2 linked regions of the Nothobranchius furzeri genome follow. The protein of the gene in region 2 purifies or fractionates together with the protein of the main gene of each other region. This does not show direct contact. Links are inferred from orthologs where the notes say so. Each region holds a gene or a part of one and is shown on either strand. Other genes may lie near its edges. The genes, in order: c2cd5 and fibpa.

Region 1 (4,491 bases), on a different chromosome or scaffold from region 2:
GTGGGCCTTGTTCCACTCTGCGATTGTCGAGGCGGCTGTTGCTAGCTGTGGTCGTAAGATGGCCGGTGCCAGTCGTGGTGGCAACCCCGTACCCGCTGGTGGACACCAGAGGTTCGGGGAGCCGTCAGGCTGAAGAAGGAGGCCTACAGGGCGTGGCTGGTCTGTGGGTCTCCGGAGGCAGCAGACAGGTACCGGATAGCCAAGCGGGGTGCAGCAGTGGCAGTTGCCGAGGCAAAATCTCGGGAGTAAAGGTTAGCGATAACTGAAATTAACCTAAACCAAAAACAAAAAATAAATAAATAAAATAAAACTTTAGTTTGGAAAGTGTAATCTATGAAAGTGTCACAATAGGGACATCGGTACATTACACTCTTATTGTCATCCATTTTCCAGGAACTTTAGTGTGATGTTTGCAAGTTCAGATTTGATGATTAGATTATCTTTTTTCTAGTTTTCAGTAAAACCAATGCTGAAATTCAGAGAACTCTTAGGTCAATCTAAGGTCATTCTGTGTATGTTGGTTTTGATTTATCATGCACCATCTTGCCTTTTGACAGGAAAGAAACAGAGCAATCATGTCACATCTGCACCAGTCATTTAAAATGGAGCCATTTGTTAGGGTTAGATTGGTGGCCACTAATGTTTGCAGATCCCAAAGAAATGATCTGTTTATTTGGCTGTTTAGTTTGAACCCACTTATTTTAATTGACTTTTTCTCATGTTTGATTAAATCTTGGCTTTTATAATGCAAGCTTAACTATATGTTTTTATTAGTCGTAGTTCATTTAAATTTATATGAACAATTTATATTTCATATTTTTTGCATCACTAAAATGCCCAATGGGAGAACACTTTGACGCGACTACTGCAAGGTATGTTTCCAGACATTTTTTGTGAGTGGAACAGTAACTCTTTAGGTTTACCGAGTATTTATTATTTTAAGTAAGAAGAGGAGCCAGTGGCAACGTTTCTGACATAGTCAACGCCTTATTTGATTAATAGCTTTATTTTAAACTTATCTAAAATAGTAAAGAAAGAAAGAAAGAAAGAAAGAAAGAAAGAAAGAAAGAAAGAAAGAAAGAAAGAAAGAATGAATGAAAGAGACGTAGCTAGCTACCAAGGGAATGTAAAAATCACATGACAAGTTTCAACCCGAACATGTAGGAGGTGGCGCATGTCTTCATTGCTGCATTTACTGAACTGTAGTTTTTAATAATTTAAATACTACTCACATATAAATAACGTAGAAGAACCAATAAAATAATACGTGAATCTATATGCACAGTAAACCACATAGTAAGAATAAGGGAAGATGTTCAATCTTTACATTTTTGTTTATGTTTCTGGCAGCAGGGTGACGTTGTAGTCTAAAGTACGACGTTACGGGATGTTCATGAAGGTATCACGCTATACCACTGAAAATTCATTCATCATTAACAGTTATCAACAAGCTAGCTTTTACATTTACTCTTTAAACCAGGAGTTATGCAACATTTTAATGGTTTGTATAGTAACTTGTAAGCAAATAATATTCTTTATATTGTTATGATTTGAGCAGGTGATATCTAAGCTGGTAATAACGTGTCGTGTTATGGGAAAGACAGTGAGGTCAGGCGATCGGTGGACCGTCAACAACGATGTGAAAGGACTGCTACCGCTCTGACAGCTGTCTGACCATATTATAGCACCGGTAAGAACGATAGTCTTTAAAATAGGGGCAAGAAGCTTATTTTTGTAGGAGGAGTCTGGTCTGCATGGATGTTCGTACAAACATGGCCGATCAGGTAACTAAAGCTAACGAGATCCAGTGTCAGCAATGCCGTTAAGTGGCTTTCATGCGTTAGCTTAAAGCTAACACAATCGTGCCAACTGATGGGCGCTGTCGTGTTCATAATGGCATTTCACTATATTACGTCTGACGTTATAAACCATTTAAGTTACGACACGAAGCTTTATTGATGAAAGGTACGACACGAAGCTTTATTGATGAAAGGTTGTTTATGTATTATGAATGCGCTTTTAAATTGAGTATGGGGCTGTCCCTCTCCACACACTCCCCTAGCTGTCGCGTAATGATGGCAGTGCTACGCTACTTGGAGAGCGACAGGTCTAACTGCTCTGTTTGTTTACATATTTTTGCAGATCAACTTAAATCATGCCTGGAAAACTGAAGGCCAAAATTGTGGCAGGGCGCCACTTGCCTGTCATGGACAGAGCCAGTGACCTAACGGATGCCTTTGTAGAGGTAAGGGGATCATTTAACAACACTGAGTTGATAACAAATATGATAATCAGAAAAACGGGTGTCCTAAACTTTAGACAGATTTAGTTTCATGATGTTTCCAGTTTTTGGATTGAAGGTAAGCTATTTTGGGACCTGAAAGAGTTGAATGAAAATGTTTTGCTGGTTTTTGGTGAAATAAACAAAATATTCTTTAAAAGACATGATTTGGATAGCAGTGTGTGGTGTCTAAGGTAAGTAGAGTAATCAACTCTTGACTAATTAGCACATAGCAACTCAGAGTGATTACAAAAGCTAGTTTACTGTGACTGTTTATGTATCATTCTACATACAAAGGCTGTTTCTTTTCAGGTGAAGTTTGGAAACACAACCTTCAAAACAGATGTTTGTCCTAAATCCCTTAATCCACAGTGGAACTCTGAATGGTTCAAATTTGAGGTAAAATTACTTTTACTCCTTTTTAAGCTAAAGAAGTGGCTGTTTTATTTACTAGGCTATTAAACGTATACAAATTTTCGTCTAACTTATCATTTATTTCTGTCTAGGTTGATGATGAAGACTTGCAGGATGAGCCTTTGCAGATCACAGTATTGGACCACGATACTTACAGCGCCAACGATGCCATAGGAAAAGTTTATATTGACATCGATCCTTTACTGTGTACTGAAGCGGCCTCTATCATCTCTGGCTGGTTCCCTATCTACGATACCATCCATGGTACAAGATTCACCTTGCATCATTACGATAAAATCCTTCATCTGTTTTTATTTCTTATTGACATGACTTACTTTGCTTTCCATCAGGTATCCGCGGAGAGATAAATGTCCTCGTAAAAGTGGAGCTCTTCAACGATCTGAACCGCTTCAGACAATCATCATGCGGGGTCAAATTCTTCTGCAGTATGTCTGATCTGACTTTTACTTCTCAGTGCACCCTAATTAGCCTTAAATGTTGCAGTTGCATACAAAGCAATTCACAGGTAATGTGAAATATTAAGACACTAAGATTTTTGGCACGATCTCAAGTGCATCAAGTAAAAACATAATTTTCATACTTGGTAAGGATGAATGTTTTTTCAGGGCCTTCATTACGTCTGTAAACCAGGAAGTGGCTATTAACAAAGTGTCTTAAATATCTTTTATTATCTTATTGTCTCAATTTCACTTGCAGCTACATCAATTCCATACAGCTATCGGGCAGTGATGGTGCATGGGTTTGTAGAGGAACTGGTGGTGAATGAAGACCCAGAGTACCAGTGGATAGACCGTATAAGAACCCCTCGTGCATCCAATGAAGCTCGCCAGAGACTCATTTCTCTGATGTCTGGTAAAAAAAATAAATTCTATGTTTTTCCCTTGGATCTGGAATAATGTCTCATGTTAACATCACTCTTCTTACTCTTTGTTTAGGAGAACTACAGAGGAAAATAGGGCTTAAGGTCTTGGAGATGGGTGGGAACGCTGTGGTGGGTTACTTGCAATGTTTCGATCTGGAGGGAGAGTCGGGTCTGGTGGTCCGGGCCATAGGTACCGCCTGCACTTTGGAAAAATTCAGCTCTGGGAGCGCCTCGATTACCTGTCCACACCCGAGCACGGCCCCTCCTTCCAACGCCTGCAATTCTCCTAAAGATGGAAAGGAGTGAGTATGAACCAAAAACATGAGCATGAACATGACCTTTTTAATGTGCAAGTAAAGTTTGTGGGAATGCAGAAGAGCGGTGTGTGCATGAGACGGAGAGCGTGCACATGAGGTCTACTGTTAATCTGTTTTAATCCAGCCATTATTCCTGTGTGTGTCTCAGTACAGTTTTATTAGTTTATGTCTGTTGTGTATTGCAGCATGAAACTAACAACACATTACATACCCTGAGACACACACATACAGCACACACAGATCCATCGCTCTGCTCCTTTTAACCACTTGTGCACGACTTACTGCTCTGCCTCTGCATGTTTTATTGCGTTTTGCTGTAATGTATATGTTGCATGTGCTCTTGCTCTGCTTCTAAACCCTTTGTAGCCGATTGGTGAAATCTCCTAGTATTGTTGGCACCACTGCAGCTGAGTGCTTGGTAGCTTCTGATTTGCATCTATGTTGAAAAGAAATGAATCAGGGATGAAAGCTTTCAACTAAACATTGTGTAGTAAATGAATTTAGTTTCTAACGAGGTGGGAAATCAGTAATATCGCATCTTCCGCTTAAAATGAGAAATTTCTTCTTTATTTGTCAACTTGGCTGCAGATTTGTAG
Region 2 (4,574 bases):
AGCTTGTTCTCAGGTGTCTATTTTTAGCCATTTTTACATAGTTTTACACAGCATCAACATTTATTTTCAATAACAGTGTTTCTAGGACATATTGGTTTAACATTGCGCTGTGACATTTGATAAATTACATAACTGACAAAAATGATCCACATGGCTTATATCTTATGTCAAAGAACTGGCCAAAGGAAGCAACCATAATCCCTCACCAACAGCTCCAACGGTCCAGTTGTTGATAAGTTGGCCGGCGCAGAAAGCAAAGTCCTGGAAAGTGATGTACTGCAGCTTCTTTTTCCCCGTCTCAAAGCGGTTGTTGGCAAAGAAAACAATGGCAGCATAATCCCTGAAACAAGCTAAATGTAAGCAGGATGCAATGGGAAATACAAGACAATCATGCTGTTGTTTCCATGGGATTAAATACCCTGAATATTTGACTTTAGGAGGAAAATGTTCTTTGATTTTGAACAAAAGGAATTAAACCGATGCAGTCATTCTGAAACAAAAGCTAAATAAGTAAAAAAAAGGGTTAGAGTATTTGTAGGAGGACTGGTTACCTTGCAAGTTTGTCAGACAGAAGAAAATGTTGACGTATGTTCTCCACCAGGGGTCCCTTCAGCTCTTCCACAACTTTGAAAATTCTTTTGAAGTTGTCAAACTGAAACATAACACATGATGCTAGATAATAACTAAAACAACTATTTTCTCTCCAAACCACAAGCCCACCACAACTCATAAACCGTACCTCAGCCTGGAGAAAAGGTCATGGAAAACTAAACAAAAAAAAAACTGCAGCATGATGATTTTTTTTAACATTCCAAACACAACACTAGGCTAACAAAAGAGACTTGCTGTAAAGGCAACACTGTGTAAGCTGGTGGTGTTCTTTACCTGTCGTCTGCAGCTTTTCAGAGTCACACCTGTCTTGGCACTGATATCATCCAAGTCTTTCTTTGTTCCTTTGGAGAGTTTCTTTCCCAGGACTTCACGTACAAATACATCATCAAAGGCATAATATCTTAACAGAGACCCACAAATAATTTAATAATAATAAAATGATTTTTAATTTAAACAATAATTTTAAATTGAATTTAAACTGGGAAAAAGAGGGTAGAGGGACTGATTTTAACACAAGAATGGCTTAAAACAGATAACTAAACAAGCTTCACCTCTCGATGAGCATGGTTTGCCGATGAGGGGGAATCTGGAACAGCAGTTGGTTTGCAAGTTTGGCTGGACTGTGCAGAAGACGCTCACACATCTGGAAAGTCCTGTACTGGTCCATGGTATCACTGAGCAGAACATCTGCAGTTGCATCAAACTCATCCAGTACTCCTCCCTCCATACGCGCCCTCACTGCATCGTTCACTGTTGGAATAGATCCCAAACTCCGATCAGAATATCAGTTGTACAACTATGCTGTTAACAGAAGTCATACGTAGAATATTCCAATCCCATCCCATTACAATGTAGTACTCTGGTGTTTCCTTTTCATTGTTACAGCTAATTACACCCATATCCGGTAAAATACCAGAGCATTACTTTTTAGCTCATCCTGCTCTGCACAAGCTGTCTTCTGGGGTTGGTGATGCCAAAATGTGTGACAGAAAGCAACAAGTTCAACAAAAAGAAGCCAGTTTTGTGTAAAATAACTTGATCTGAGAACTATGGAAGTAGAAGAAAATGTTCTTGCACGATGCAGTAACGTGATTACATTGCTTTATTGACACTTTGGTCTTTCTATCTAGGGTTAATATCAAAGTGTTACTGTGAATGTAAACATAGCCAGTGATCTGGTCTTGGCATTTTCTGCATCTTTGCACTTCAGGTGTTGCTAGTGATGTGCCAGGTTTAGAGGTACTTGTTGCGATATTTAAGCAAATACTTATGGGCAACTTTGTGTTTTTGCTCCATTTATTTCCCACACTTAGCCTTCCCGTTTTCTGGTTCCTGTGATGTGACTAATGAAAGTGCTTTGTTTACCCAAAAATGAATACCGTATGTTGCAACTAATCATTTCAAGTTTTGTTTATCTTTGATGCATTAATCTCAACCATTGTAAATTCAATATTTGAAGCTGTTTGAAAAGTTTTGTTTTGTTGTTTTATTCTGCTAGCAGATCACTTAATCTACATGTATGAACTAATTCAGACGAAAAGCCCCAGTTTTGGTTTTATACAGAGCTGTGTCATTGTTTTTAATTACATAATTAGATTTTAATCACCCATCAGTTAACATGCAATAATATAACTATAATGGCCTGTAGACCTTTTGATCTTTATAAAAACCTTCTTAAATACATCAGGGCTGATTGTTCATGTTATAACAATAATATTAACATGCAGCCTCATTCCTACCTGTGTATCCGTCCAACCAGAGCTGGTAGACCTCCTCATCCATAATAGTGGTGTTACCCACGAACACATCAAGCTCTACTGCCATCTGTACGAAACAAAAAATAATCTGTTAAAATTTGGCTCAAATAATTTACCTGCAAAACTCTCGGATTAACTTCAAGGAGCCCGAAACTGAATAAATGACTGAATATACCTTGTTTTTACTGTCGTCCAAACCGATTTTCTGGCGTCAATGAATGTGTGTTTTTAAGCAGATTCATCCATTCAGTTATTGAGTTTAAACTGTTTCCTGTCGCCTGAATTACTAGCTAAACTCGAAACCTCTGTTAGCATGCCGAACCGTTAGCAGCCGTCGGTGAGCACAAAACTAACCACCAGATAACAAAATGACTAATTAAGACCAAATTATTATGGTGATATAATCTGGAAATTGGAGCACACTCAAACTTTCCGGTTTTTTTTTAAGCGTAAATAGCTGTTAAACCGTTGCGTCCATGTTTTTAGGGATCCGCAGCCAGTGACAACAACATTAGCAGCCACTTCCGGTACGGTCGGTGACGTCACACGAACAAATGCGAGAAAGCCATCGACATTAATATAGCTTTAATAAGTCTTCAATGTTTATTTCTGATTGACCCTGTATAACAAAAACAATCCAAAAAACGTACCTTTTGGAAGGTTGTATTATCTGTTAAGTGCCTCTTGTCGATTAATGAGCTGATGTCTGTTCGTGTGTATATTTGATGTATGTTTGTTAGTGTGACTATGTATTTGTGACAAAAACAAATAAAGTTTGTTTAAAAAAATCGACATTAATATAGAGGAGAAAGCACACATTTTATTTGAATTATAGTAATGTTTTCAAATATAGTGTTTTTATTTACGTCATTTGGATAATTTGTTAGGATATTACAATTTTATTAAAGTTTTTATTTAAACTTTATTTAACCACTATTGATTAAAACTCATTCATAAGATTAAAGATAACTTTTAAATTAGATAGGTTTCCATAAAAAAAGATAGATAAAGATAATGGATGCCCATTACTTATTCAACTCTAAATGTTCAACTCCAAATGCTAAAAGTGTATAGCAGACAATCCACTTGTGGACACCTCAGTTCCATTAATTTGTTTCTTTCTTAATAAATACAAATTTGCTTTGCAGATATGAAGAGATTTTTCCATCCACAGTCAAAATTTCAAATATCACAAATATGATTCTGCCAAGGACAAATTATGTCACATGTGCCATTTATGTGAATTGGGCATTCAGCTTTCTCACAAGCCTATCCTGTACATACAGGGCTGGACCTAGAAATGCTTTAAGGGTGGGAAGATATGGCATAAAATACCATACTCTTTTAAGGAGATACACATAGACGCACACAATTGTGTGTGTGTGTGTGTGTGTGTGTGTGTGTGTGTGTGTGTGTGTGTGTGTGTGTGTGTGTGTGTGTGTGTGTGTGTGTGTGTGTGTGTGTGTGTGTGTCGCCAAAAGAGTATGCATGGAGAGAAACATTTCACTGCAGCGAGGAACAGAATGCTAGTTTTATTGTAGAATCAGAAACACATGCTTTCCAAGGAAATCATCAGTATTTACAAAGCCGTATTTGTTTTGTCTTGTGACATAATTTTATCAGCTTACGTTATAATCGGTTCAATCGGACAAGTGACAATAACATTCGTATGTCTGATTTGCCACAACTGTTCAATGAATTTGCTGTGGTAGCAGCCGTGCTAGCACCCTAACATCTGCCACCCTAGGCCACCCTAGGCCACCCCAGTAGATCCATCCCAGTCTACATATCTGAAATGGACATTATTTCTTTCTAGAACAATTTTTTCATGAGACATTTTAGCATCTTAAAGTCCCCAACAAGATTTAAAACAATTAAATTAATTTATTTGTGGAAGTTTTTTAGTCTAGCTTAGCACATGCATAATTCGGGTGCAAGGACTAAAATGCGTTTGACCTATAGCATTTGATCTGCTGGTTAACCGGGTAAAGTTCAACAGATGTGAAGACAGGTTGCAACAGTGAGTCTCCAAAGACTTTCCTGCAAATTAAACAATAAATCATTGCTATTATAGCAGCAAAGAAAAAACACTAAAATTATTTTGGGAATCATGATGAAATTCGTTTTGAAAGTTTGCCAAATGAAGACCAAAAGTCGGTTTGGTCTTTAAATCATGAAAGATCAAACTTTTTTTTTTTATTATGC

The links.
Region 1: the proteins of fibpa (region 2) and c2cd5 purify together in Homo sapiens (affinity purification with mass spectrometry; 3 studies listed by BioGRID and IntAct, counting the BioPlex papers as one, with this or other methods). This does not show direct contact. The link is inferred for Nothobranchius furzeri from reciprocal best matches to the Homo sapiens genes FIBP and C2CD5.

Annotation. Positions count from the first base shown.
Region 1 is NC_091744.1:70,654,756-70,659,246, forward strand, and holds the start of c2cd5 (C2 domain-containing protein 5), read left to right. Parts: upstream 1-1,383; 5' UTR 1,384-1,501; intron 1,502-1,554; exon of another isoform or gene 1,555-1,604; 5' UTR 1,605-1,690; exon of another isoform or gene 1,691-1,965; intron 1,966-2,142; 5' UTR 2,143-2,155; coding exon 2,156-2,245; intron 2,246-2,593; coding exon 2,594-2,680; intron 2,681-2,787; coding exon 2,788-2,959; intron 2,960-3,045; coding exon 3,046-3,141; intron 3,142-3,412; coding exon 3,413-3,568; intron 3,569-3,651; coding exon 3,652-3,880; intron 3,881-4,491. UniProt on the Homo sapiens protein: Required for insulin-stimulated glucose transport and glucose transporter SLC2A4/GLUT4 translocation from intracellular glucose storage vesicle (GSV) to the plasma membrane (PM) in adipocytes.
Region 2 is NC_091741.1:84,649,867-84,654,440, forward strand, and holds the start of fibpa (fibroblast growth factor (acidic) intracellular binding protein a), read right to left. Parts: upstream 2,892-4,574; 5' UTR 2,545-2,891; intron 2,437-2,544; coding exon 2,352-2,436; intron 1,363-2,351; coding exon 1,164-1,362; intron 1,013-1,163; coding exon 886-1,012; intron 653-885; coding exon 552-652; intron 341-551; coding exon 207-340; intron 1-206. UniProt on the Homo sapiens protein: May be involved in mitogenic function of FGF1. May mediate with IER2 FGF-signaling in the establishment of laterality in the embryo.